3 linked regions of the Ovis aries genome follow. The protein of the gene in region 2 purifies or fractionates together with the protein of the main gene of each other region. This does not show direct contact. Links are inferred from orthologs where the notes say so. Each region holds a gene or a part of one and is shown on either strand. Other genes may lie near its edges.

Region 1 (7,898 bases), about 110 Mb from region 2:
TTAGCAGTGAAGCCCGTGGGGTCAGACTGCCAGGACTTTGATCCCTACCCACCAATTCATTGCTCTTGGACCTTGAGCAAGCTTCTTTAACCTTCCTTTGCTTCTATTTTCTTCTGTACAATGAGGGTAATAATAGAAGCTGTGTCATAGTGTTATCGTGAGTGATGTGTATAAAAAATGCAAGTATAGTGCCCATAACATTAAGCTCTTAATAAATGCTAGCCATTATTATAACTAAAAGATTAACACAATTTCCCAATTTTTCTTCCTAGTGTGTAGATTAGACTCTGAGAGATCTTTTTCTCAATCATTGTTCTAAATTCCTGTTAATAAAATACAGGTTTCATCTCATATCATTTTCGTATCTTCTCCAGTATCTCTATAAGTGCAGTTCCCTCTGTTACACCTTGTTCTTTGAAGGATCCATGCTCTGAGAAAACATGATTACATGTTTCACAGGAGCACTTTGGAAATGAATGTTATCAAGGAGACTGACACTTAGAGACTAAATGTATATGGAACCTTTTTATCATCTTTATTCTGATTAGATTTCTTTTTTCATTGTTGGATCTTAGAATATCATTGTTTGCTTCATCACAGATTTTTTTTTTTTTGTTTGTTTGTTTGTTTGTTTTTTTATTCCTAGGAATTCTCTTCTCACAAGAAGCAAGGGCCTGGATTACTCAGTAGGATGGGACAGTCAGTCAGAGCGGTTGCATTGTCAATGAGAGGAGTTAAAAGTCGCCCCGAGGAGTTCATGGAAATGAATAACTTCATTGAAATATTTAGCCAGAAAATAAATTTGATAGATAAAATATCTCAGAGAATCTACAAGGAAGAACGGGGTATGTAGAACTGCTAAACTGTGATCTCAAAGTTGTTGCATTTCTGATGAATCTTTTTCCATTTGCTGGTGTGGTAAGGCAGCATCAACTTAGCATTTCTTTTTGGTCATTCTTAGGATTACTGTCTCTGCTTACAGTGCCCATCTGTTATTGCATGCTGTTTACTGTATCTAATTAGGGCCCTTAGCATATTCATCATAGTTGTTTTAAAATCATGCTCTAATTCCAACATCTCTGCCACATCTGGTTCTGATGCTTGCTCTCTATTTAAATTGTGTTTTTTGCCTTTTAGTATGTCTTTTAATTTTCTTTTGCCCATGGTAGCCAGACATGATGTACTCATAAAAGTAAATAGGCCTTTAGTAATGTGATGGCGAGGTGTGGGGAGGGGAAGCGTTCTGGAGACCTGTGGTTAGGTCTCAGTGCTTTCATGAGTCTGTGCCTTGGACCACTGTGAGCCTCACAGAAGTTCAGGGTTTTTCCTTCCCCCTCTTAGTTGAGACAGGATGACCAGAGGAGGCTCAAGTTGAGTATTTCCTTTCCTCCAGCTCAGTTGTGCTTAGTCACTCAGTTGTGTCTGACTCTTTGTGACCCCATGGACTGTAGCCCCCCAGGATCCTCAGTCCATGGGGATTCTCCAGGCAAGAATACTGGAGTGGGTTGCCATGCCCTCCTCCAGGGGATCTTCCCAACCCAGGGATCGACCCCACGTCTCCCACATTGCAGGCAGGTTCTTTGCCCACTGAGCCACCAGGGAAGCTACCAGGTCAGTTAGCCTCTGATAATACCCCAGCAGGTAATGCTCTGGGTAACCAGTTTCCCACAAGGGAAGGCCTTGTTAAAAAGAACCCTGGCTATTAGGTAGAGTACCTTGGCTATTACAAAATGGCTTATTTTCTCATCTCCTGCAGGAAGCAGAAGTAATTTTTGCCTGATATTTACTGTGCAGGCTTTTGGAGGTAAATCTCACAATATTGTGGGATTTCACCCATGGCTAGTTTCCCTGGAGTTTTTAACTCCTTGAATTGTCCACACTGAGACTCCAGCAATTCATCATTGACAGTTTCAGTTTCCCAGCCTGGGCACTGGCTGGGCATTCCTCTCTGTTTTTTGTTTTTAAAAATTTTTATTGGAGTATACCCAGGTATGCCAGTGATAAAGAACCTGCCTGCCAATGCAGGAGACGTAAGAGATGCAGGTTCAATCCCTGGGTTGGGACGATCCCCTGGAGGAGGAAACGGCACCCTGCCCCACTATTCTTGCCTTCTTACCTGGAGAATCCCATGGACAGAGGAACCTGGCAGGCTACAACCCATAGGGTTGCATTGAGTCAGACATGACTGAGCACACACACGCATTCTTATTTCCATTTATAAATAATAGGGATAAAGAGCTTAATATTTTGGGTGTAGTCAGTCTCAAATGTTCAACATGGGCCATAATTTTAATCAAAGAAGTGATGTTTCAGGAAATAGGGTTTCCACATTTGCTTGGGCGGGGGTGGGGGAGGAGGTGCAAGAACTCTATATTAGATCTGTCCAAGCAATGGCAGAGAGATTTAAAATAGATCTCTTTTCCTATTTTCAAGTTAGATTTTATTTCATGATTCTATGAATTCTATAAATTCTATGATGAGTTTTTGCCAACTTAGATGGCTAAGTCTGACAATAATTTGATTTATGCCTTCTTGGTCTTTGTATTTACCATTTGTAAGTTTTAAAAAAATCAAGAAGATAATTGTTTTAACTAGGTTTAGTGATTCCAATTCTATTAAGTGAATTCTTGATGGATAGTTAAGTGGTATGGCAATTCAAAGAAACCCCTGGAAACTCTTGACATTTAAGAGTTCTACAGAATATCAAATAGCATCATTATGTGTTATATTTACTGGGGCAAGGGACTAGTTTTCAAATCTCTGATCTGCTCTAATATTTGTGAAATCCTCAAAAGGAAAACTGGGTTTTTGTGGTGGACTTTATAAATTTGAGCTCTCAATTTCAAGGAGTGGAGGCACACTGGCACAAACTTAAGGGATTTCTTGGTCTTTCGAATGTAAAGCCCATTTTTCAAGATTTCATTTAAAATGATGGGGTGTTTTTTTTTTTGTTTGTTTGTTTGTTTTTGAGTTCTGGGAGTCTAAGCTATATAAGGCATTTCATATTTAAATCATGAAGAATTTGTTTATCATAATGAGTCATTTTTCTTTTGACTTGCTTTTATTCCTTTTTTTTTCTGTGACTTTGTTTTGTGTTCCCTAATTAATTAGGCAAATTTGTATTGACCACATCATGTGCTAATGCTTTGTGCTAAAGATTGAAGGAGGGTTAAAATAGTATCTGTCCCTGAGTTCACAGTCTAGTTGGGGAAACAGATATATTAACAGACAAATTACAGTGCAGCTCAGTAAGTGTTTCCATACAGATGCAATTTGAGTGCTTATACAATTTAGAATTTCAAGGAAGCTCTTTATATTAAAATAAATACTTTACAGGGTAAATAACACACTTTGATATATGCAGAAATTAAGAAAAGAAATAAAGGAGAATGTTTTCTTTTCTAGAAATATTGGGGCCTCCCTGGTGGCTCAGACAGTAAAGAATCTACCTGCAATGCAGGAGACCTGGGTTTGGTCCAACGGGAATATACCCTGGAGCAGGGATAGTGTCACATGACCATTATCTAAAATAAAAGATAGGCCTAGATCAGGAGGATGCAATTTGGAAGGATCCTAGTGGTTGTCAAACATAGTATCTTCTTTAGGTGATAATAGTATTTGTATTGTTTTTAAATCTTTAAAGTCTTTTTTAGTTTACCTGATCATATAAACTTTTGAAAAATGTAATAGTTTAATAAAAAAGTTTAATTTAGAGCAATATGACATATTTCAACTAACCCCAATGACTAATAAGATGATTAAATATAGAGAACTTAATTATACTTATGTGGGTATTAGACCAAAAATTCTCACTATTCATGCATCCTCTACCATAAAAAGCCATCTGTCATTCAACATTGATAGTGTGAAAGCAAATGTATAAAAATATTCAGATTTTAAAATGAAATCCAAATTTTTGGATAAATGGTTTATCAAGCATTGAATAGTCTTTTGTTCATTCTTTCATTGATATGAAAATATTTATTAAATACATTATGTATTAGGCTTTGAGATTAAAAAAATAATGACTCTGCCCTATTGTAATGAGCGTATGGCCTTAGAGTATGTGAGTTATGCAAGCAGTTATAATAGAGTGAGATAATAGTATTAAATTATGATAGGCTTTAATAGAACCATAAAATTATGACACTCATTGAGGACAAAGCATCTACAAATCCTCTGGAACAGAAACGGGAGAGATTTACTTGTGTTACGACTTCAAGTGTGAGAAGTAGTTTGTCAGATGATAGGAATGGTAGAGGGCAACTGAAAGACGTGTGCAGTGTTTAAGTTAGGAGAAATCATGATATTCATGAATGAGCTGTTATTTTGGCTTGAATTAAAATATCTGTGAGGGAGATTTTTCAGGAGTTAGATCTGGAGAGGCAAGGTAGGGACTGAAGGACTTAAAGGCCTTTCTAATTCAGCTAAGAAGCTTTAATGTTCATATACTGTGACAAGAATTGAGAGGGAGAATTGTTAGAAGTCTCTTGCAGGAGCACAGGTTAGAGATGCTGATGATGGTGCAAGTGAGGATAGGTAGATCGGTGGGGAGATGGATGGATGGGTGGGCAGATAAGTAGATACAGATTTAGAAAGACTGGAATTAGTGATTGACTGTCTCTTTGTAGGTGTCAGTTTAGGGTGCAGGATGACCCCACAGTTTTTGCTTAGATCTCTGGAAGCAATTACCAGTAACTAGGATATGTAAACAGGAGAAGAGGAAAAGAAGACATGTTTTGTTTACATCATGTTGCCAGTGAAATACTCAGGTAGAGTTTGTTTGGTAGGCAGAAGTCCATGATACAGTAGACACAGTGATCATATAATTCATTGCCCAAGCCAGGATACTTTTGACAATGAAAAAGCATGTTATTATTGATTACACCTGGAAAGCTTTTATTCAAGGACTGTTCTGAGCAGACTGGGAGGACAGGTCAATTTAATGAAAGACGATATCTGCATTAATGTTCATCTACAAGAACATGCACACAATGAGAAAAATAAGGTCTTTTCTTATTGTCTATAATATAGGGATTTTTAAACTTATATACATTTTCATGTATTTTAAGTATATAATTAAAGTTATGTTGAAATATATATTGAAAGAGCATATTATAAATTGAAGAACTTATTATTTTTTAGAATATTTAGATGAAATGAAAGAATACGGTCCAATTCATATTCTGTGGTCGGCATCAGAAGAAGATCTGGCTGATACTCTAAAAAGTGTTGCCAGCTGCATTGACAAATGCTGTAAGGCCACTGAAAAATGGATGTCTGGATTCTCAGAGGCCCTGCTACCTGTCGTACATGAGTATGTGCTTTATAGTGAAATGTTAATGGTAAGGACTCCTAACTATACTTCTACCTGAGTCCCTGACTTGCTTTATAAGCTTTATAAAGGCAGTTTCTGTTTCAGTTTGTTCATCACTATCTTCCTCTCATAGAAAGATGCTTTGCATGTAGATGCTCATAAATATTTGTTTACTGCATGAATGAATTGATGAGTAGAAGAATATGTTAATAAAAGACAGGCATATTCAACAGTAGTAACAGTAGTTTATAACATAGGTTTGAAGCATCCTCAGTCAATATTTACATAGAGAGTATGATTAGTTTTTCCAGTGTTTTAAAATTTTACTTTCAGAAATTTCAGCACTTTAGAAATTCCTTTTCATGGACAAGTTGCTTTCTTGCTTCTAGGTACGTTTGAAAGATGATATCCACATTCTTAATGTTCATGTACAGGAACATGTGCCCAATGAGGAAAAATAAGGTCTTTTCTTATTGTCTATAATATAGGGATTTATATGAATATACATTTTTGTTACATTTTGTTTTCATATTTGTATGAAAATCCCTAAAATATAGGGATTTAGTATGTTTTATTTTGTTTGTATTGTTATGTAGAAAGTACTTGAGTAGGATCTTGATGTTTGTTCTGTCTTCTGGATGCTTCTAAAGAGAAATCCTCCAAATTACCATGTTTTTCTTTCATGACTTGAAAAGGCTTTTATTCCTTTTATATCAAAGTTTTACGTGTAACCTCCTAAGTTCCAGTTTAGGTCTCCAGATATTTGGGATTTTGTGATGTTATCTGCAAAGCTAATGTTTTTCATCCTGTATTCTCTGCATAATACCTCACACAGTTGAACTGACACCCTCAGCTTTCTGGTGTTGTAGATGACAGTGGTGGAATAAGTCAGTTTGCATTGCCTGGTAGTCCATTTTTTCCTGCCATTTATGCTTGAATCTATGGTTTCTGTTTTCATGTACTCTTGATTTGGGAGGATTTAAAAATTTGTTTTGCTTCTGTCTCGGTAAGAAAAGCTCTCTCAACCTTTCAGCATAATATCTGCCTCTTTCATGTTTATTATGTTTAGATTTTCCTTCACAGAATCATTAAATATTTTGTTATTCTGCTGTTATTTGACTTTGTCAGGGTCCTCCTATAAGCACATCCTCCCTGCTTCCCAAAGTCCTCTAGTATTTTACTGTTGAGGCACCTCTGCTTTGCCTCCATCAATTTCCCTTGGCTACATTCCATTGGTTTACTTCATTATTGATCTCCCTCTTGTGTGGCTATTCAAAGAGATCTGATTTTTATCATTAAAAATATAATATTATTTTCCCTTAATTATATGTGTTTTGCTCTTTATTATGTCAAGATGGAAATTATGCAGTTTAAATCATGTGTCATTAAAGGTGTGGAAAAATGATAATAGCAACCAGAATTGAATTATTTTATAAGTCCTCATTTGATTGTATTATTTTGTAGGTTCCCAGGGTATAATCAGTAGCACTTACATTGCAGATCTGTTTCTGTTTTATATTGGAATGTTTTCTTCAGTGTGAGCTAAAATAATGAAAAGTATATGCTTTGACAGAACAATTAAATTTTTGCTGTTTTTACTAGTTGTCTTCTGAAGCCACCTCTTACTTAAAATATTTCTATCTATATGAAGCACAATATTTCATATTGATGGAAACAGATCTTAATGGGACTAAATTATTGCATGTGCCATTTGGGTTAGAAAATGGAAGGAGTTCCTGACATTAATGGCAATTAAACATTGAAGTAAATATAAAAGAATTTGTGACAATTAGTTGAATTTTCTATTCATTTCTTTGAACACAAGAGAGTTGTTAATCTCTTTGAACATTTTAAGAGTGATTCTACCAGGCACAAATCTAGGGTGAGTTATTTTCAGGACGCTTTTTATCCTTGTGTGCTGTGCTTTGCTCAGTCACTTCAGTCATGTCCAACTCTCTGCAACCCCTTGGGCTGTAGCCTACCAAACTCCTCTATCCAAGGGATTCTCCAGGCAAGAATACTGGAGTGGGTTGCCATGTCCTCCTCCAGGGAATCTTCCTGACCTAGGGATCAAGCCCTCATCTCTACATCTCCTGCAATGGCAGGCAGATTCTTTACCACCAGCGCCACCTGGAAAGTCAGCTTTCTATCCTTAATGACTCAGTTTTCACACAAATACTATAGAGCCAGCTTGTTTGGTTCCATTTAAGTGATTTGCTGTTTAGGTTTTTCTCTTCCTCTGAAAACACCCAAAAGACCTGTACCACATTAAGGTTCTTCTCTTATACGTCCTACAACTCCACTCTTCCTGGTTGAACTGTTTGCTTGCTCAGAGTTAGTTTTATTTTTGCCTTGAACTGTTTAGGCCACTTGTGTTTATTATTACAATTTCACTATTTAATTAATAGTATGAAAACCAGTGAAAGATGGGTACAAATAGTCTTTGCATCTGCAAAGCCCAGGTAGACTGTCTAGAAGAAAAGTGAGTCACCAAGGGAAAGACATTGTAAAATGCTAGAAAACATCGTAAAAGATGTAGATGAATTCTGTACTTAAATGCCTTCACAGGGGTGTTTTAACT
Region 2 (8,447 bases):
TTCTGAGATCCTAGGCTAATAGCAGAGCTCAATAAATATTTGTTAAACCCATGACAAAATGGGAGCTTAAATCACGCTATCCAGATGTAAGAAACTGAATTTCCTCTGGCTGGATGAGGTGGGGAGTGTGTCCACATAGAAGGTGACTACACCACCCTGGCTAGATAACCCTGCTCCTGAGATTTTCCCATTCAGGCCCTCCCCGAGGGAAGTGCTGGGGTAGATATCCTCCAGTCTGAATCAGAAGAATGGGGAACATCTGAAATCTCCACCGAGTTAGTCTTGGGCTCTTCTAGACTTTAGCCAGTGTAGTGACTTTACCTTCATAATCAAGGAAAGGTGCCTCAGGTCACTTATGCTAACCCCACGTCATCAAACAGGACTTAATATTTAACTTAATTACAGTTTCAGCTCTTCCCGAAATGGAATCAAACTTGTCAATCAGGAATTACTTGGTCAGTACTAATGAGGTGATTTGTTCTTTAGACATACTATCCTCAAAAGAAATGTGTCCTTAACACCAGCAGTTCAGTTTTTGCTGGTATAACTTCCTTGCCCTTGTTCCCTCCTAAGTCTTCCACTTTGTACAGCTCATTGGAGTGCCTTTCTCTCTGCTTAGATGGGATGCTGCCTGATCCATGAATTGTTGAATAAAGCCAAAAAGATCCTCCAAGTTTGTTGTTGTTCAATCATTCAGTTGTGCCTGACTCTTTGCAACCCCATGGATTGTAGCACCCTAGGCTTCCCTGTCCTTCACCATTTCCTGGAGCTTGCTCAAACTCATGTCCATTGAGTCAGTGATGCCATCCAACAATTTTGTCCTCTGTCATCCCCTTTTTCTCCTGCTTTCAATCTTTCCCAGCATCAGGATCTTTTCCAGTGAGTCGGCTCTTTGCATCAGGTGGTCAAAGTATTGGACATTCAACATCAGTCCTTCCAATGAATATTCAGGGTTAATTTCTTTCAGAATTGACTGGTTTGATCTCCTTGCTGTCCAAGAGACTTGCAAGAGTTTTCTCCAACACCACAGTTCAAAAGCATCAATTCTCTGGCGCTTGACTTTCAAAGTTTACTCAGTTGAATTATGGTTTTTTAACACTACTCACTGCAAGGTGTGATGCTCAAGTCACCAGCCCAGAGCAATTATCCCAATGGCTCTAGGACTTAGTTTCCTGGGTATCTCAAAACTGGGAAAAGGGCACAGTATAACAGATACAGACAAAGGTCCATATAATCAAAGCTATGTTTTTTCAAGTAGTAACATACTGGTGTGAGAATTGGACCATAAAGAAGGCTGAGCACCAAAGAATTGATGCTTTTGAACTGTGGTGCTAGAGTAGAGACTCTTGAGGGTCCCTTGGAGAGCAAGGAGATCAAATCAGTCAATCCTAAAGGAAATCAACTCTGAATATTCATTGAAAGAACTGATGCTGAAGCTGAAACTCCAATACTTTGGCCACCTGATGAGAAGATCTGACTCATTGGAAAAGACCCTGGAGAGACTGAAGGTAAAAGAAGGGGACAAAAAAAAAAAAAAAGAAGGGTGGCTAGATAGCAACACTGACTCAATGGACATGAATCTGAGCAAATTCCTGGAGACAGTGAAGGACAGAAGAGCCTGGCATGTGTCAGTCCATGGGGTCTCAGTTGAACATCACTTAGCAACTGAATGACAAAATAACAGATACAAATCTGTCCCTGATATCTGTTTCTCCTATAATAAATTAATAAAGTCTTCTGATTTAAAAATGGTTCCTTGAAATTCCTTGGTGGTCCAGTGGTTAGGACTCAGCACTATCACTGTGAAGGGCCAGGGTTGTTCAATACTTGGTGGGGAAATTAAGATTCCACAAGTCACACAGTGAGGCCACACACACACACACACAAAAACCCTAAGAACTTGCCTAGCATGGATATTCCCTGAAAAACTGTTTCAATGCCTTGCAACATTCAAGCTTTGCTTATTTATTTGGCAGGGGTGGGTCTCTGTTGCTGCACATGGGCTTTTTCTGGTTGTGGTGCACAGGCTTCTCATTAGTGGCGTCTCTTGTTGAGCGAGACTTAGGCACATGGGCTTCAGTAGTTGCAGTACGGGGGCTCAGTTGCTCACCGGCATGTGGGATATTCCTGGATCAGGGATTGGATTTGTGTCCCTTGCATTGCAAGGTGGATTCTTAACCACTGGACCACCAGGGAAGTCCTAAATGCCTTTAAACATTTATTGAGTAAATGTCCTAGGCTTGGTAAGAAAGAACAAAAAATAGGGTCCTTGCTTTAAAGGAGTCTGAAGTCTAGTTGGGGCAGACAGACATAAATAAATAATTGTAAATTGTAAAGAAGTATGAAAAAGGTCGTAATTGATTTATGAACAAAGTGATATTAGCACTTGGACATAACCTGAGGTTTTAGGGATGAATGGGAAAAATCGCTACCATGCCAAAAGAAGGATCAGGAGGAGGAGAAAACTGCGTGTCACCGCTTCGAACAGCTAAGTTATTTGGACAGAAAGATCAGTTTCTCTCCTTGAAAATTTGACGACCAGACTTCCTATACAAGGTACTACAAAGTACCACAGTCTGGTACACCCAGTGAGCGTTTCCCGTCAGGTTATCACAGTGAATACTTGCCTAGGAAATAGGTTCCGAAAATTCAACCGAAGTGTTTATAGAAAATTATCAGATATCACCAGGGCTTCAAGAAACACTTGAAGATAGAACTCAAACACAGCTTCAGTTAAGCGCTTCACTTTTCTCAAACACTTGAAAAGTGTTTACCTTTTCCTGATTGTGTCACTCAACCTGGTGAAAATTAGTGAGATACGCGGCTTCGATCTTTCTGGGTGTGTGTTTAGGGGGTGGGGGTGGGGCCAAAAAGGAACCAATATAAACCAATATAAAAAAACCAAAAAAGGAACCAAGATAAAAGGCCAAGAGGGAGACGTCAGATCACAGCCACTGATTTCTACCGATTTCAAGTTTTCTTTAGGTGATCACCAACCTGAGTGGTTCCAGCACCCACCCTGTCTTCACCTTCCCCTTGCCTTTCTGTCTTTCCCTGCACCGGTTCTCCCGGATTCCTGAGTCTCCTGGCTCGGGAGCTGACCACTTCCCGCGTACCAAGTACCCTTGGTACGCCGCCCTTCCCAAGTACCATCCCCAGCTGCTGGCCTAGCCCATGAGCGGTCTCAGTCTGCTTGGCCGTGAGCTAGACGCGGCGCGGCGCGGCGCGGCGGGGCGGGGCGGGGCGGCCGCAGGCCGAGGGGGCGGGGCCTGGCCGGCGGCCGTGGGCGGGGCCGGTCCAGGCGAGGCGGCGCCGGCGCACTGTGTCCGCTGCGCTGAGCCGCAGCAATGGAGCAGGCAGCTCCCGACCCTGAGCGGCTTTTGCAGCCCGCGCCGCTGGAGCCGCTGAGCCACCCCGACGCTGGGCTGGAGTCCATGGTCGGTGAGGAAACGAAAGGGGCCCGGGACGAGGGCCCCGGGGACGGCACGGTGAGGAGAAGGGGCGGCAGAGGCCTCCCACCCCCGCGGCCTGGGGCGCGGCCTAGAGGGCAGAATGGACTGGTTTACGCTGACCGCGCGGGTGGGCTCGCTCGGCCGAGAGGCCCCGCGGCGACGGGGAAGCGGGGTGCAGTCAGTGGGGGGAGGCTTGGTGGGAAAAGGGGGTTCTGAGTAGGGGCGAGCGCCAGGGCTGCGGGACCGCAGGAAGGGTGAAGAGGGCGCGGCCGTGGGCGCGGCTCGGCAGGCGCGGGCGCGGGGCCCGGAAAGCGCCAGGCTGAGGCAGGTGCGGTTTCGGGGTTGGGAACCCCGGGGGGTTGGACCCGAAGAGGAACGCTGATGTTTCTGGCATCTATAAGTTGTGCGGAGGAGTAGGCTTAACCGTGGGCGGTGGCAGCGGTGTTTGAGAAAGAAGAGAATGGGGGACTTGAGGAACAAGTTTGGGGCACGAGGGTGTTTGGCTTGGTGCCACCATCGGGAGATGGAATAAAGTGTTAGAGTCAAGAAAAGGTACAAGTGAAAAAGATTTTTTTTGTTTGTTTGTGTGGTTTTAAATAGATTTTTAGTTGGAGAATAATAAAACTGCTTTACTATATTGTGTTGGTTTCTGCCACACAGGAACGTGAATCAGCCATAAGTAAGTATACATATGAGCCATAAGTAAGTATACATATGTCCCCTCCCTCTTGAACCTCCCCCCATCCAAAATCTTATTTGACTTGTAATTTCCTCATTTGGGGTCAGTGCCGTATCTCCCAATGGAGATGTGTCATGGATATCCCATTTGTTGGCTTTGTGAAGCTCCTTTGATAGTGATTTTCATTTGCTTGACAGAAGGATGAAATGCATCATTTTATATTTGTAATTACTTTCATTCCAAAGTGTTTCCACGCATAATGCAAGATGAGTAGACCATGTTAAATAAAGTGATTTGGAAACTCAGTCGAGTACTTATCATCAGACCACCCTAATGAGGCTGTGCAGTGCTCATCCATTTTGGTTGTTTTTTTTCTGAAACAAGTTATCAATATAAAACTGCCCATCCTTGTGATAAATGGATAAAGAAAAGTTAAAAGTTGTTGGCTGACTGTAACTAGAAAGACAACTAGCTAGGAATTTCAACACTATTTGAAGTTCAACACTTCACCACTAGCTATTTTAACTAGCTAGGAGTTCAAGGTTTTGCCTACTTGGGGGAAATGTCGAGGTATAGGATAGCATGAAAACTTCTGTGGGTGAATTTTAAGTTTTTCATTTGTTTTCTTCCTAAATTATAGAATTGTTTGTGGCGAGGTATCTTATATGAAATGTGAGAGCAGTGTGTGTATTCTGTAGTCCATAAACTTGACTCTTACATGAATTGCTTTTTTAATGGAGATTCTATTTGTGACTTAGTTTTTCTGTTTCTTAAAAAAACAACTTTTACTGTGAAGTTTATAATTAATGCAGAGAAGAGTCTCACAAAATAAAAATCAGTTTCTTTGAAACCTTTTTATAGTCTCCTGTTACATCCGCTCCCTCGACCACAGAAGTAATTATATTCTGGATTTTGTATTAACAACTTTCTAGCTTTAAATATATATATAAATGTAAATGTCCCTAAACAACATGTTGTTTAGTTTTACTTCATTTTGAAATTTACATAATCGAACTAGTTTTACTATGACTTCCTTTTTTTGCTCTATACTGTTTGGGGATTCACCCAAAATGTAACTTAGTTTGTTTTTATAGTCATGACTCTATAGTATACCATTTTGTAGGTATTCTACAGTTGATTTCTCTTTTCCTCGTTTTACAGACATTAGGGTTGTTTCAAGATTCTTGCTGTTCCTGAAAGATAACTACCACTATGAACTTCTTACATGTAAGAAATACATAGTGCAAGTGTCTATAAACATAAAAGTTGATTGTTGGATCATAGGGTGGTAGCATAAGACATGGAGAAGACAATGGCACCCCACTCCAGTACTCTTGCCTGGAAAATCCCATGGACAGAGGAGCCTGGTAGGCTGCAGTCCATGGGGTCGCTAAGAGTCAGACAGGACTAAGCGACTTCCCTTTCACTTTTCACTTTCATGCACTGGAGAAGGAAATGGCAACCCACTCCAGTGTTCTTGCCTGGAGAATCCCAAGGACAGGGGAGCCTGGTGGGCTGCCGTCTATGGGGTCGCACAGAGTCGGACACGACTGAAACGTGTCCGACTGAAACAGCAGCAGCATAAGACATAGAGGTGTGTGTGTGTGTGTGTGCGCGCGGCCACTCAATCATGTTTGACTTTGTGAACCCATGGACTGTAGCCCACTAGAATTTTCTAGGCAAGAATATTGGAGTGGGTTGCTGTTTCCTACTCCAAGGGATTTACCTACCCAGGGATTGAACCCAGGTCTCTTGCATCGGCAGGCAGATTCTTCAGCAGTGTGCCACCTGGGTAGCACTGTAGCATAGTAAGTAGTGCCAGGTTGTTTGCTAGAGTGAACATACCAGTTTGTATTCGCATCAGTAGTGCCTGCTGCTGTCTGTCCTTATCAGCACTTAATATTTTCAGACTTTAAGTTACTTGCCAACCATGTGGATATGTGTTAAAGCAATTTTAGATTGTTTCAAAGGGTGAGAATCATATCTTTTGTTAGCTGAATTGTGAGTTTAATTTTGATAATGACTGAACATTTTGGTAATTTTTTTTGTGACAGCCTTTGGATGGTTAACTAATATGAAGTTGCAACTATAGTATAAAATCCATTTGTGTTAAGTGATTATAAATATCTCATTTAAAGTAAAAAACCTGTGTTCAGTTTAAGATATTTGAAATCCCAAAGATGCCATCATACAGTAAAAGTTGTAGTTATGTAATATTATCTGACTTTTAAATGTGTGATAAGAGACCATTTGAGATTGCCCAAGCTTAGGGTTTCCTCAAACAATGATTTGGTAATTTATAGAGATAATTTAGTAACTTTTAGAAATACAAGCCATTTGGACAAATATTTCAGAATCATCTGGAGCTTATCAACACACACATGTGCATCCACATACACTCTACATGTTGTCCCCTCCTTCTAAAAGTCTGCAGTCTCAGAAGATCTACTCCTTTTCCTGTTTCTGTCCCCTCTTCCACTCTAATCCATCCACAGTTGAGAAGTATTGCAGTAACCATAGCCATGTTGCTACTGTTACTGGTAGATAGGAATGTGGTCTGGGCAGACAGGTAAATTACATTTGTTTGTGCTAGACACTGTGAGGCTCTACTGTTCATTTAATTTTCAAAATTACTCCCAAAAGACATAAAAGACATACAGAGATAAGGAAGCAGAAGCTCTGAGAGAAGTAATTTGGCCAAAGTCACAAACTAGTGACATGACTGGGATTTGGGCCCAAATCTTTGTGGCTTTGACATCAGTGCTCTGTTCATGAAACCATAAAGCTTCACTCCCTGCCCCCTCACCACCAAGAAAAAAAAAAGATTAAAAATAGTCTTGTAAATTGTAAAATACTATACTTAAATATTTTTTTTATTAAGATTCAAGTTGTTATTTTAAGAAGAAAAGAGCTCTGAATAATATGTTGACTTATCAGTAACTTTTTCACCATAAAAGCATATATACTGATAGTGTGGAGAAATGACAAAAAGCCTCATCAGCCTTATTTTTGACTCTGCATTTTGGTTGGAGAGAAAATTGTGCTAGTTGCCCTACACTGAGGGATAGTGGAAACATGCACTGCCAAGGTGATCTTTTCCAGTTTTAAACATCCCTAATTTTAACATTCTTTAAATTCGGTTGTAAACTCTCATTCTCTTGTTTTTATTTCTGTGAGTCTTTGTCCTCTTCCTTTCCAATGTCTAGTTAGAAGTTTCCCTTTCTTTCTGTACTTTTTCCTTACAAAGAAGAGTGTATTTTTTTTTAAGTGTTGTTGGTTTTATTTAAAGAAGTTTGGAATATGAAGAATGAGGGAGGACCACAGTCTTCAAGAGAGTAGCAATCAGTCCTGGCGAGGACGCAGCAAGGGAATGGGGGTAAAAATGCTGCTTTTTTTGGGCTGGAAAATTCCATTGAGTTGGCAGTTAACAGTATTTGCTCAGAGAAGCGCTGCCTGAGGTATTCATAGTGTCTTTTCTTTTGTAGGGAGGATTCTTTAGGCTTCTTGAGTGCTCCTGGGGCTAAGAGTGCTTGAGCAGCCATTGCTTGAACAGTGCCTGTACACTGTTAGTTCCTTCACAGGGTGGCGGCAGAAAGCTGAGTGAAGGAGTCCAGAAGTTAGTGGAGGAGGGTTTGAGACATTTGTGGTAAAGATAATATGAAAAAGGAAATGTATAGGCAGAGTTACAGAATTTATCAGCTTAGGGCTTCCCTGGTGCCTCAGCTGGTGAAGAATCCGCCTGCAGCGCAGTAGACCCCGGTTCAATCCCTCAGTCGGGAAGATATCCTGGAGGAGGGCACGGCAACCCCCTCCTGTATTCTTGCCTGGAGAGCCCCCGAGGATAGAGGAGCCTGGTGGGCCACAGTCATGGGGTTGCAAAGAGTCGACACGACTGAGCGACTAAGCACACACAGCACAGGAGATTATTAAATAATTCTCAAGAATTGCTTTCCTCACTTTCTACTTCAGCAGCTCTCAGTTATTTTTTGAAGGCAACTCATGGTGCAGAATGCGTTTTAAATCATAGTCAGTACACATGTACTTGTATACATAGGCATTGTTTCAATTCAGTCATGGCCCACTCTGACCCCAGGGACTTTAGCCCACCAGGCCTCTGTGACCATGGGATTTCCCAGACAAGAGTACTGGAGTGGGTTGCCATTCCCTTCTACAAGGGACCATCCAATCCAGGAATTGGACCTGTGTCTCCTGCATTGCACGTGGATTCTTTATGCTGAACCACCAGCCCCCTATTTACCATGGGAATAAGATATTTGCATTTATTATCTACTTTTTATTAAAAAATTTTTTTTTGA
Region 3 (7,898 bases), on a different chromosome or scaffold from region 2:
GGATGAGGCCATTCTGATAACAGTGGGCATGAAAGGGCAAGAATGTTCATTGAGGGTTTGGTAAGGACATTTTTCACGGGAACTTCATGAGTGTTGGCTCAGAGTCTCATTTCATGGGTGAGGAGACTGAAGCTCAGGGTGTGTATTCGAGTTCAGCTGGCATCACTGGGGTGTAAACTGGGTCTTTGTGGCTCCTGAGGCCACAGTTTTCCTGGGTATCAGACCACCTGACCAAGAGGAGTTTAGCATTACTTCAGTTCAGTTCAGTCACTCAGTTGTGTCCAACTCTTTGCAACCCCATGAACTGGAGCATGCCAGGCCTCCCTGTCCATCACCAACTCCCGGAGTCCACCCAAACCCCTGTCCATTGAGTCGGTGAAGCCATTCAACCATCTCATCCTCTGTTGTTCCCTTCTCCTCCTGCCCTCAATCTTTCCCAGCATCAGGGTCTTTTCCAATGAGTCAGCTCTTCATACCAGATGGCCAAAGCATTGGAGCTTAAGCTTCAGCTTCAGCTTCCGTCCTTCCAATGAATATAGCATTACTTACCTGCAGCCAAGTTCCTAGCAGGTGGGCATTTTCTAGGCACTTGCCAGGGACAGAGTCAGGACAAACACAGGTGCTGGATTCTACATAGTCAGAGTCAAGTTGGCCATCTCCCCTTCAGTAAATTTAAGAAAATTGAAATCATTATCAGGCATCATTGAAATCACATCAGGCATCTTTTCTGGCCACAATACTATGAGACTAGATATCAATTACAGGGGAAAAAAAAAGCTGTAAAAAACACAAACACATGAGATTAAGCAGTACATTTCTAAATAACGAAAAGGTTACTGAGGAAATAAAAAGGGAAATAGAAAAATTCCTGGAAACAAATGACAGCGGGAACATGACAGCCCCAAACCTGGGGGATGCAGCTGACTCAAGGGGGCCACCCCGTGCCTAGTCGCGGGACTTCCCTCTTGGCAGAACTGGTCCAGAACCCGAGGTGCTCCACTCTGTCTGTCTGCGGAAGTGAGAGCTCGTGTTCAGACTCTCGTGCCAGCTGTCTTCCACCCCCCATCCCTTTACGCTCATGCCTCCTAGTCTCATGTTGAGGCCATAGGTAATTCCTCCCGCGTTGGCAAGGATATTTAGGTCCAGGTACTTTCCAGTTTTCTTTTTCAAAATCCCATATTGAGAAATATTTACAAACAGTGTCACCTGACGTAAAGACCTTAGGGGGATGCCATTCTGCAGACAGTGAGGACCACATGCCAGAGTCCGCCAGTGTTGCGATTTGTTTTTATTTTTTTCCCCCTTTTTCCCAAACCTCAGTTGGCACTCAACCTCCTGGATGACATTCTTATTCATCTTCTCTTTTCCCTGGAAGCCTTCCCTCCACAGTTCAAACTTGTGTTCTTTTTTTAAAAATGAATATTTCCTGGTGAACTGCTCCTCAGGCACAGTTCTTCCAGAGTAAACACAAAGTAAACTCCCCCCTGTTCTCCAGAAGTACAACACACCGTTTCACCCAAATTGCAGGTTCTTCATCCAGGCAAGCCCTCAAGTTTCATCATTTTTACTGAATAAAGGGACAAAGCAGGAGAAAGCTTGGATCCCTGGTCACTAGGAATTTGTGTGAAAAATAAGGAGGAAGGTATTTTTTTTGTGTGTATGTGTGGTTTTTATTTGTGGGCCAAGCAAGGTGAACTGATGTTTAAAATGTCTTCAGGTTTGTTACTGAAGGAGAACACACGTCCAGAAAAGTACGCCAATCATAGCTCAATAGGTGATCAGAAAATGAACACGCCCTTTGCGACCATTACCTGTATCAAGACAGAAAATCCCCAGCACCCTGGAAGCCCCCGTCCCAGTCACTCCCGCCCTCCTCCTCCCTAGAACGAACGCTGGCCTGATTTCTAGCATCGCAGAGCGCTGGCTGGGTTTTGCCGCACGGCCTTTCCTGTCACTGCGTCCTGCCTCCCACCCTCTACGTCCCTTATGTGGCTTCGATTGGATATAAATGAATGAATCTCAGCTGTTGAATTTTGCTCCTAAAGACAATTTAGGATATTTTGTACAAGAGAAAGGGACTCTTTAAAAAAAAGTTGTATTTCAACAGTTGTGCTTAAAGAAACGTGTGCAGGGTCAGTGTCCCTTGTTGGAAAGGAAGGAGTCCAGCCCTGGAGAAAGAGACCTGGTGTGCAGGAGCAGGGGTGTGAGCGCGGTGGCCGCGATGACACAGGGGAGGAGACGTGTGTGTCTGTGTGTGTGTGGTTAGCCGCGATGACACGGGAGGAGACGTGTGTGTGTCTGTGTGTGTGTGGTTAGCGCCTTACCTAACTCGGCTACTTTTCTTTTGCTTTTTAATAATTAAAAATACATATTTATTTGGCTGTGTTGCATCTTAGGTGTACCGCAGCATACAGGAGCTTAGTTCCCCAGCCAGGCATTGAACCCACATCTCCTGCATCAGGAGGTGGACTTATAACCACCGGACCACCAGGGAATCCCCAGTCCCTTATTTTCGGAGTCCTCCATTTCCTAAAGGAATTGGCTTACCGAATCCTGGCTGTGTGAGCGGGTGAGCCCTTTGAGTCTGTCTCTTCGTGTGTCATCCTTAGGACCTGAACGCCCACAAGAAGCAAGGGATGGCATTGCTGACTCGAGTGGGCGAGTCGGTCAAGCATGTCGCTGGCGGCTACAAGCTGAGAAATCGGCCTCTTGAATTCGCAGCCATCGGCGAGTACTTAGACACGTTTGCGCTCAAGCTGGGAACCATCGATCGAATAGCCCAGCGGATCATCAAGGAAGAAATAGGTGAGCTGTGTGTCAAGGTCTGGATCAGGCCCGCGAACCATGTTTGCAGAAATGGCACTCGTGTGTGCCAGGCAGAATCAAACTGCTGAAATGCTGGGGTGGCAGAACCAGGCCACACTATCCTCGTGAAACCAACACACACACGTATATATACGGAGCGGGGGAGGTAGTTGAGACCAGAGGGGAATTTTGTACTCCATCCCTGGCCTTGCATTTCATCCTGTGTTTGATTTCCCCACGACAAACAGCCACTCTGAGCCACTAGGCTTTTCTAGTTTTCTCTCTTGATTTCCCTTCTTCCATCGCCAGAGGATGAGATGGTTGGATGCCATCCTCTCTCTCATCTATAGCGACGATCATTTAAAAATTAAACGAGTATCTTTTCTGGCAGAAAGGTGATTGAGAAGGACAGCCTGTGTTTGCCAAAGTTCTGATCCTAAGGAGGTTTCAGACTTGAAATTGACTCACCTGCCTCGCCTTGGCTTCATTTCAAGCCCACTCTTCCTGAGAGTTCCAGGCCTTTCTTTAACCTTCCTGGTTGCTGCCGCTGCTTCATCCCCACCCCTCTCTTGGCCACTTGCTTTTCTGTATCCCAGAATGTGGGGGCCTTTTGTCTTCTTACACACGTGTAGGCCAAACACACCCAAACACTATGTGTGATCATGCTGGCATGTGATGTGAAACGTAGGAAAGGATTCCCCGGTAGCTGCAGTCCATTGGTTATTGAAAAATGGCAGCAACGTTTTATCGTAATGGCAAGAATCCTGGTGACAATTGATGGCCAGATTTTCTTTGTGAGGAGAAATAATATTTTCCCCTGTGTTTTAATTCTCCTTTACCTGCTGCTGGTCTTATGTGGGCCTGCAGGTTTTAGAGATGGCTTTAGGTACCATCCACACCTAAAGATCATGTGGGGTAAATTCTGATGGGCCCAAGGTGTTGCGGTGACCCCTGAGTGAGAAAGAGAGTCTGCCTATGTAAGCCCACACTTTCTTATATCAAGTATTTCCTAAAATTCGATTGGTTTTCCATTGTGACTGATTTTCTTTTTTTTTCCCTTTTGAAAACATCCCCCTAAACCTATATGAAACTCTGCTTCCATGGCCTGTCAAAATATTGCTTCACTGTAGGAGTAGGTGAGTAAGTTTTTTGGAAGATATTTAGTGGATGTCACTCCCAGCACTTTCCCCCTGAAGGCTTGGGGGCTCCCATTATCCAGAGGCATGACATTTCCATTATGGAGTGGAGTTGACTGATGTTGTGATGTTAGCTACAACATCAGCTTACAGAGATTGTAAAAAATATTCTGTTACCATCAGTGCTGTGTTTAAAGGGAAACATGCTCAGAGAGCTCTTTGCTGCAATAGTTACTGAGTCAGTAATACCAGCGATTACTGCCCAGCCAGATCTCAGCTGGTTTTTCTCTTCCCCCTTTCAGTTCAGTTCAATTGCTCAGTTGTGTCTGACTCTTTGCGACCCCATGGACTGCAGCACGCCAGGCCTCCCTGTCTATCACCAACTCCCAGAGTTTACCCAAACTCATGTCTGTTGAGTCGGTGATGCCATCCAACCATCTTATCCTCTGTTGTCCCCTTCTCCTCCTGCCCTCAATCTTTCCCAGCATCAGGGTCTTTTCAAATGAGTCAGCTCTTCACATCAGGTGGCCAAAGTATTGGCATTTCAGCTTCAACATCAGTCCTTCCAGTGAACACTCAGGACTGATCTTTAGGATGGACTGGTTGGATCTTCTTGCAGTCCAAGAGACTCTCAAGAGTCTTCTTCAACACTATAGTTCAAAAGCATCAATTCTTCGGCACTCAGCTTTTTTTATAGTACAACTTTCATATCCATACATGGCTACTGGAAAAACCATAGCCTTAGCTAGATAGACCTTTGTTGACAAAGTAATGTCTCTGCTTTTGAATATGCTATCTAGGTTGGTCATAACTTTCCTTCCAAGGAGCAAGCATCTTTTAATTTCATGGCTGCAGTCAGCATCTGCAGTGACCTTGGAGCCCCCCAAAATAAAGTCGGCCACTGTTTCTACTGTTTCCCCATCTATTTGCCATGAAGTGATGGGACCAGATGCCATGATCTTCGTTTTCTGAATGTTGAGCTTTAAGCCAACTTTTTCACTCTCCTCTTTCACTTTCATCAAGAGGCTCTTTAGTTCTTCTTCGCTTTCTGCCATAAGGGTGGTGTCATCTGCATATCTGAGGTTATTGATATTTCTCCCGGCAATCTTGATTGCAGCTTGTGCTTCTTCCAGCCCAGCGTTTGTCATGATGTACTCTGCATATAAGTTAAATAAGCAGAGTAACAATATACAGCCTTGACGTACTCCTTTTCCTATTTGGAACCAGTCTGTTGTTCCATATCCAGTTCTAACTGTTGCTTCCTGACCTGCATACAGATTTCTCAAGAGGCAGGTCAGGTGGTCTGGTATTCCAGTCTCTTTCATAATTTTCCACAGTTTCTTGCCCAGCCAGATCTCAACTGGTTTCTCTTCCCCTTTTAGAGTACCTTGTAGAGCTGAGAGAATACGGGCCCGTGTACTCCACATGGAGCGCCCTAGAGGCGGAGCTGGCCGAGCCCCTGGAGGGTGTGTCAGCCTGCATCGGCAACTGCTCTACAGCCTTGGAGGAACTGACCGATGACATGACGGAGGACTTTCTACCTGTGCTCAGGGAATATATTTTATACTCTGACTCCATGAAGGTAAGCTGGCTCCCTCATTGTGCACCTAGGTACTTTCTTTGTTGTCATTAACCAAAAACTAATTGGTTATTGCCTATTTGCTTGTGGTATTGGGCTTCTCTGGTGGCTCAGCTGGTAAAGAATCTGCCTGCAATGTGGTTAGACCTGGGTTCGATCCCTGGGTTGGAAAGATCCCCAGGAGAAGGGAACAGCTATCCACTCCAGTATTCTGGCCTGGAGGATTCCATGGACTGTATAGTCCACGGAGTCGCACAGAGTCGGGCACGACTGAGCGACCTTCACTTCACTTCACTTAGGTTTCCTTCTTCCTAGATGGGCAGGGTCAGACATGTGGACTGACCTCTTTCCTGAACATGTAAAAAGAACACATGGTAAATCCAAGTATGTGAATTAAATGAAAAAAAAAAAAAAAAAAGAAAGTTTGAAAGAGATTCTTACTAGAATCTTAGAGGGGGAGCTAGCTAGAGTTCTCTGAGTGTTTGAGATGTAACATCTGATTAAGAACAGTATGTTGTGAGAAAAGAGCAATTGAATAATAATTAGAGCTCTTTGAAGTTAAAGTGTGGTTGCTAAAATAAAATTGAAGAGCACAGTTGGAAAATGAGGCTGAGGAAATCTTGGGAAGTATTGTAAAAAAAATGTAGCTGGAAAGTAGAACAAAAATGCGAAAATACTGAAAATGTGGAAGAAGGATAAAAGACGTAGAGGATTCATCTCGAAGGTTCAGCGTCTGACTAATAAGAGTTATGATTGAAAGGACAGAGAAAACTGAGAAAAGGAAATTATGAAAGAAGCAATACAAGAAAGTTTCCCTAAACCAAAGGGCATAAGTCTTTAGATGAAAAGGACAGGGTGATTACCCAGCAAAAGGACTGGACAGAAAACCAACCCAAAGCATATCATTGTAAACTTTTAGGGCAGAAGTGATAAGATTCAGGTACAGGATCAAATGCTTTAATGTCCGCATTAGAAACTGCCCCAGCCTGCAGTTAGACCAGTTGGAGAGTGTAGCTGCGGGGGACTCCTGTGATGGTGGGCAAGGTTTATCTTGGCTAGCTGGCTCATTTTTATAGATGAAGAAGCAGAGGCTCACAGGTAGATCTTTTCTCTGCTCCACGGTCCCAGTTCTAATGAGCAGCCACCTTATATTCATGCCTTTACTGTTGGCGAGAGAAACTGGGTCAGTTCCTGCTTGTCAAGGCTGAGGCGGACCTTGTCTGTCTTTAAGTGTCCTCGTGGCACGGCACGTTCTGTTCCCTTCAGAGGCAGAGAGAGAGCACAGCAAATGGCCCTAGGAGCCCACGTGGAACTGATGGGTCATGGTCAGTGGACAGTGAAGGCAGCTTGTGCTGGATTGGTGGCTGAGGATGTGTGCTTCCAAGAACACTGTGGAGTGGACAGAGCTTGAGAGAGAAGGGTACCAGAGTTAACCTCAGGCCCAGGACTCAAACACGCTGTAGACATCTGCAGGTGAGCCCCTTATATGGGCTCACATTCTATACACAGCATGTATATAAAATATGGCTATGATAGTGATGGGCTGGGAGAGAGAACACGTTAGAGTCTTTAGCAAAGTCCTAGCAGTGCTTTTTGAGCACTGGTGTCAATATGACCAGGCCAGGAGTTGGAGAAACTTTATTTAAGAAAGTTAGGGAAGGGCCCTATACTTCATATCTCACACTGCCTTATTCGTGGAAGGTAGTCGGTGAATATTTAATTGAAGCTGACAGTGTGGTGCATTTAGAATGTTTACAGATATCTAACTATTGTATGACACCTATCTTGTTATTTTTAATAACTTGTAGTAGGTTTATCTACATGTAGCAAGTCAAAGAACATGCTTATCTCAGAAGTACTGCTGATAACTAGTGAGATGAGAGTCAGGGAGAGAGTGATAAGGTAAAGGCCAATGCAAGTGGAGCCAGCTGAGCAAGGGAATGGGTGGCAGGTGGGGAGGTCAGATAAGTAAAGGATAAGATGTGAGGAGATATACGGTAGTGTCTTAAAGGTCATAGTTGGTAAGTCTGGATTTTGTTCTTAGGAATAAAAGAGAAGCCATTTGGTTTCATGCAGGGAAATGACAGGCTATGGTTTGTACTTTAGGAAGACAGCTGGTGCTATAATAATGAAGAATGGATTGTGGAGAGAAAGGGTCGGGGGGAGGGAGAGAGAGATAAAGGTCCGGAGGCCATCAGGAAAGTGTTGCAGGGAGCCGAGTAGCAGATAACTGAGGGTAGAGCTTGGGGAAGTGAGCAAACTTGGGGTATATTTTGTGTGCAGGACCAGCTAGACTTGCTGCTATGTCAATGTGAAGTGAGACATGAGGAAATTTGAGGATGACTCCTGGATTTTGGGCTTCAGCAACTGTGTTGATA

Evidence for each region.
Region 1: the proteins of SNX4 (region 2) and SNX7 purify together in Homo sapiens (affinity purification with mass spectrometry; 3 studies listed by BioGRID and IntAct, counting the BioPlex papers as one, with this or other methods). This does not show direct contact. The link is inferred for Ovis aries from reciprocal best matches to the Homo sapiens genes SNX4 and SNX7.
Region 3: the proteins of SNX4 (region 2) and SNX30 purify together in Homo sapiens (co-immunoprecipitation; 4 studies listed by BioGRID and IntAct, counting the BioPlex papers as one, with this or other methods). This does not show direct contact. The link is inferred for Ovis aries from reciprocal best matches to the Homo sapiens genes SNX4 and SNX30.

Annotation. Positions count from the first base shown.
Region 1 is NC_056054.1:76,029,761-76,037,658, forward strand, and holds part of SNX7 (sorting nexin-7), read left to right. Parts: intron 1-646; coding exon 647-845; intron 846-5,145; coding exon 5,146-5,345; intron 5,346-7,898. UniProt on the Homo sapiens protein: Involved in the regulation of endocytosis and in several stages of intracellular trafficking. Together with SNX4, involved in autophagosome assembly by regulating trafficking and recycling of phospholipid scramblase ATG9A.
Region 2 is NC_056054.1:190,788,261-190,796,707, reverse strand, and holds the start of SNX4 (sorting nexin-4), read left to right. Parts: upstream 1-3,317; 5' UTR 3,318-3,347; coding exon 3,348-3,488; intron 3,489-4,112; exon of another isoform or gene 4,113-5,343; coding exon of another isoform or gene 5,344-5,358; intron 5,359-8,447. UniProt on the Homo sapiens protein: Involved in the regulation of endocytosis and in several stages of intracellular trafficking. Plays a role in recycling endocytosed transferrin receptor and prevent its degradation.
Region 3 is NC_056055.1:10,862,671-10,870,568, reverse strand, and holds part of SNX30 (sorting nexin-30), read left to right. Parts: intron 1-2,609; coding exon 2,610-2,805; intron 2,806-5,323; coding exon 5,324-5,523; intron 5,524-7,898. UniProt on the Homo sapiens protein: Involved in the regulation of endocytosis and in several stages of intracellular trafficking. Together with SNX4, involved in autophagosome assembly.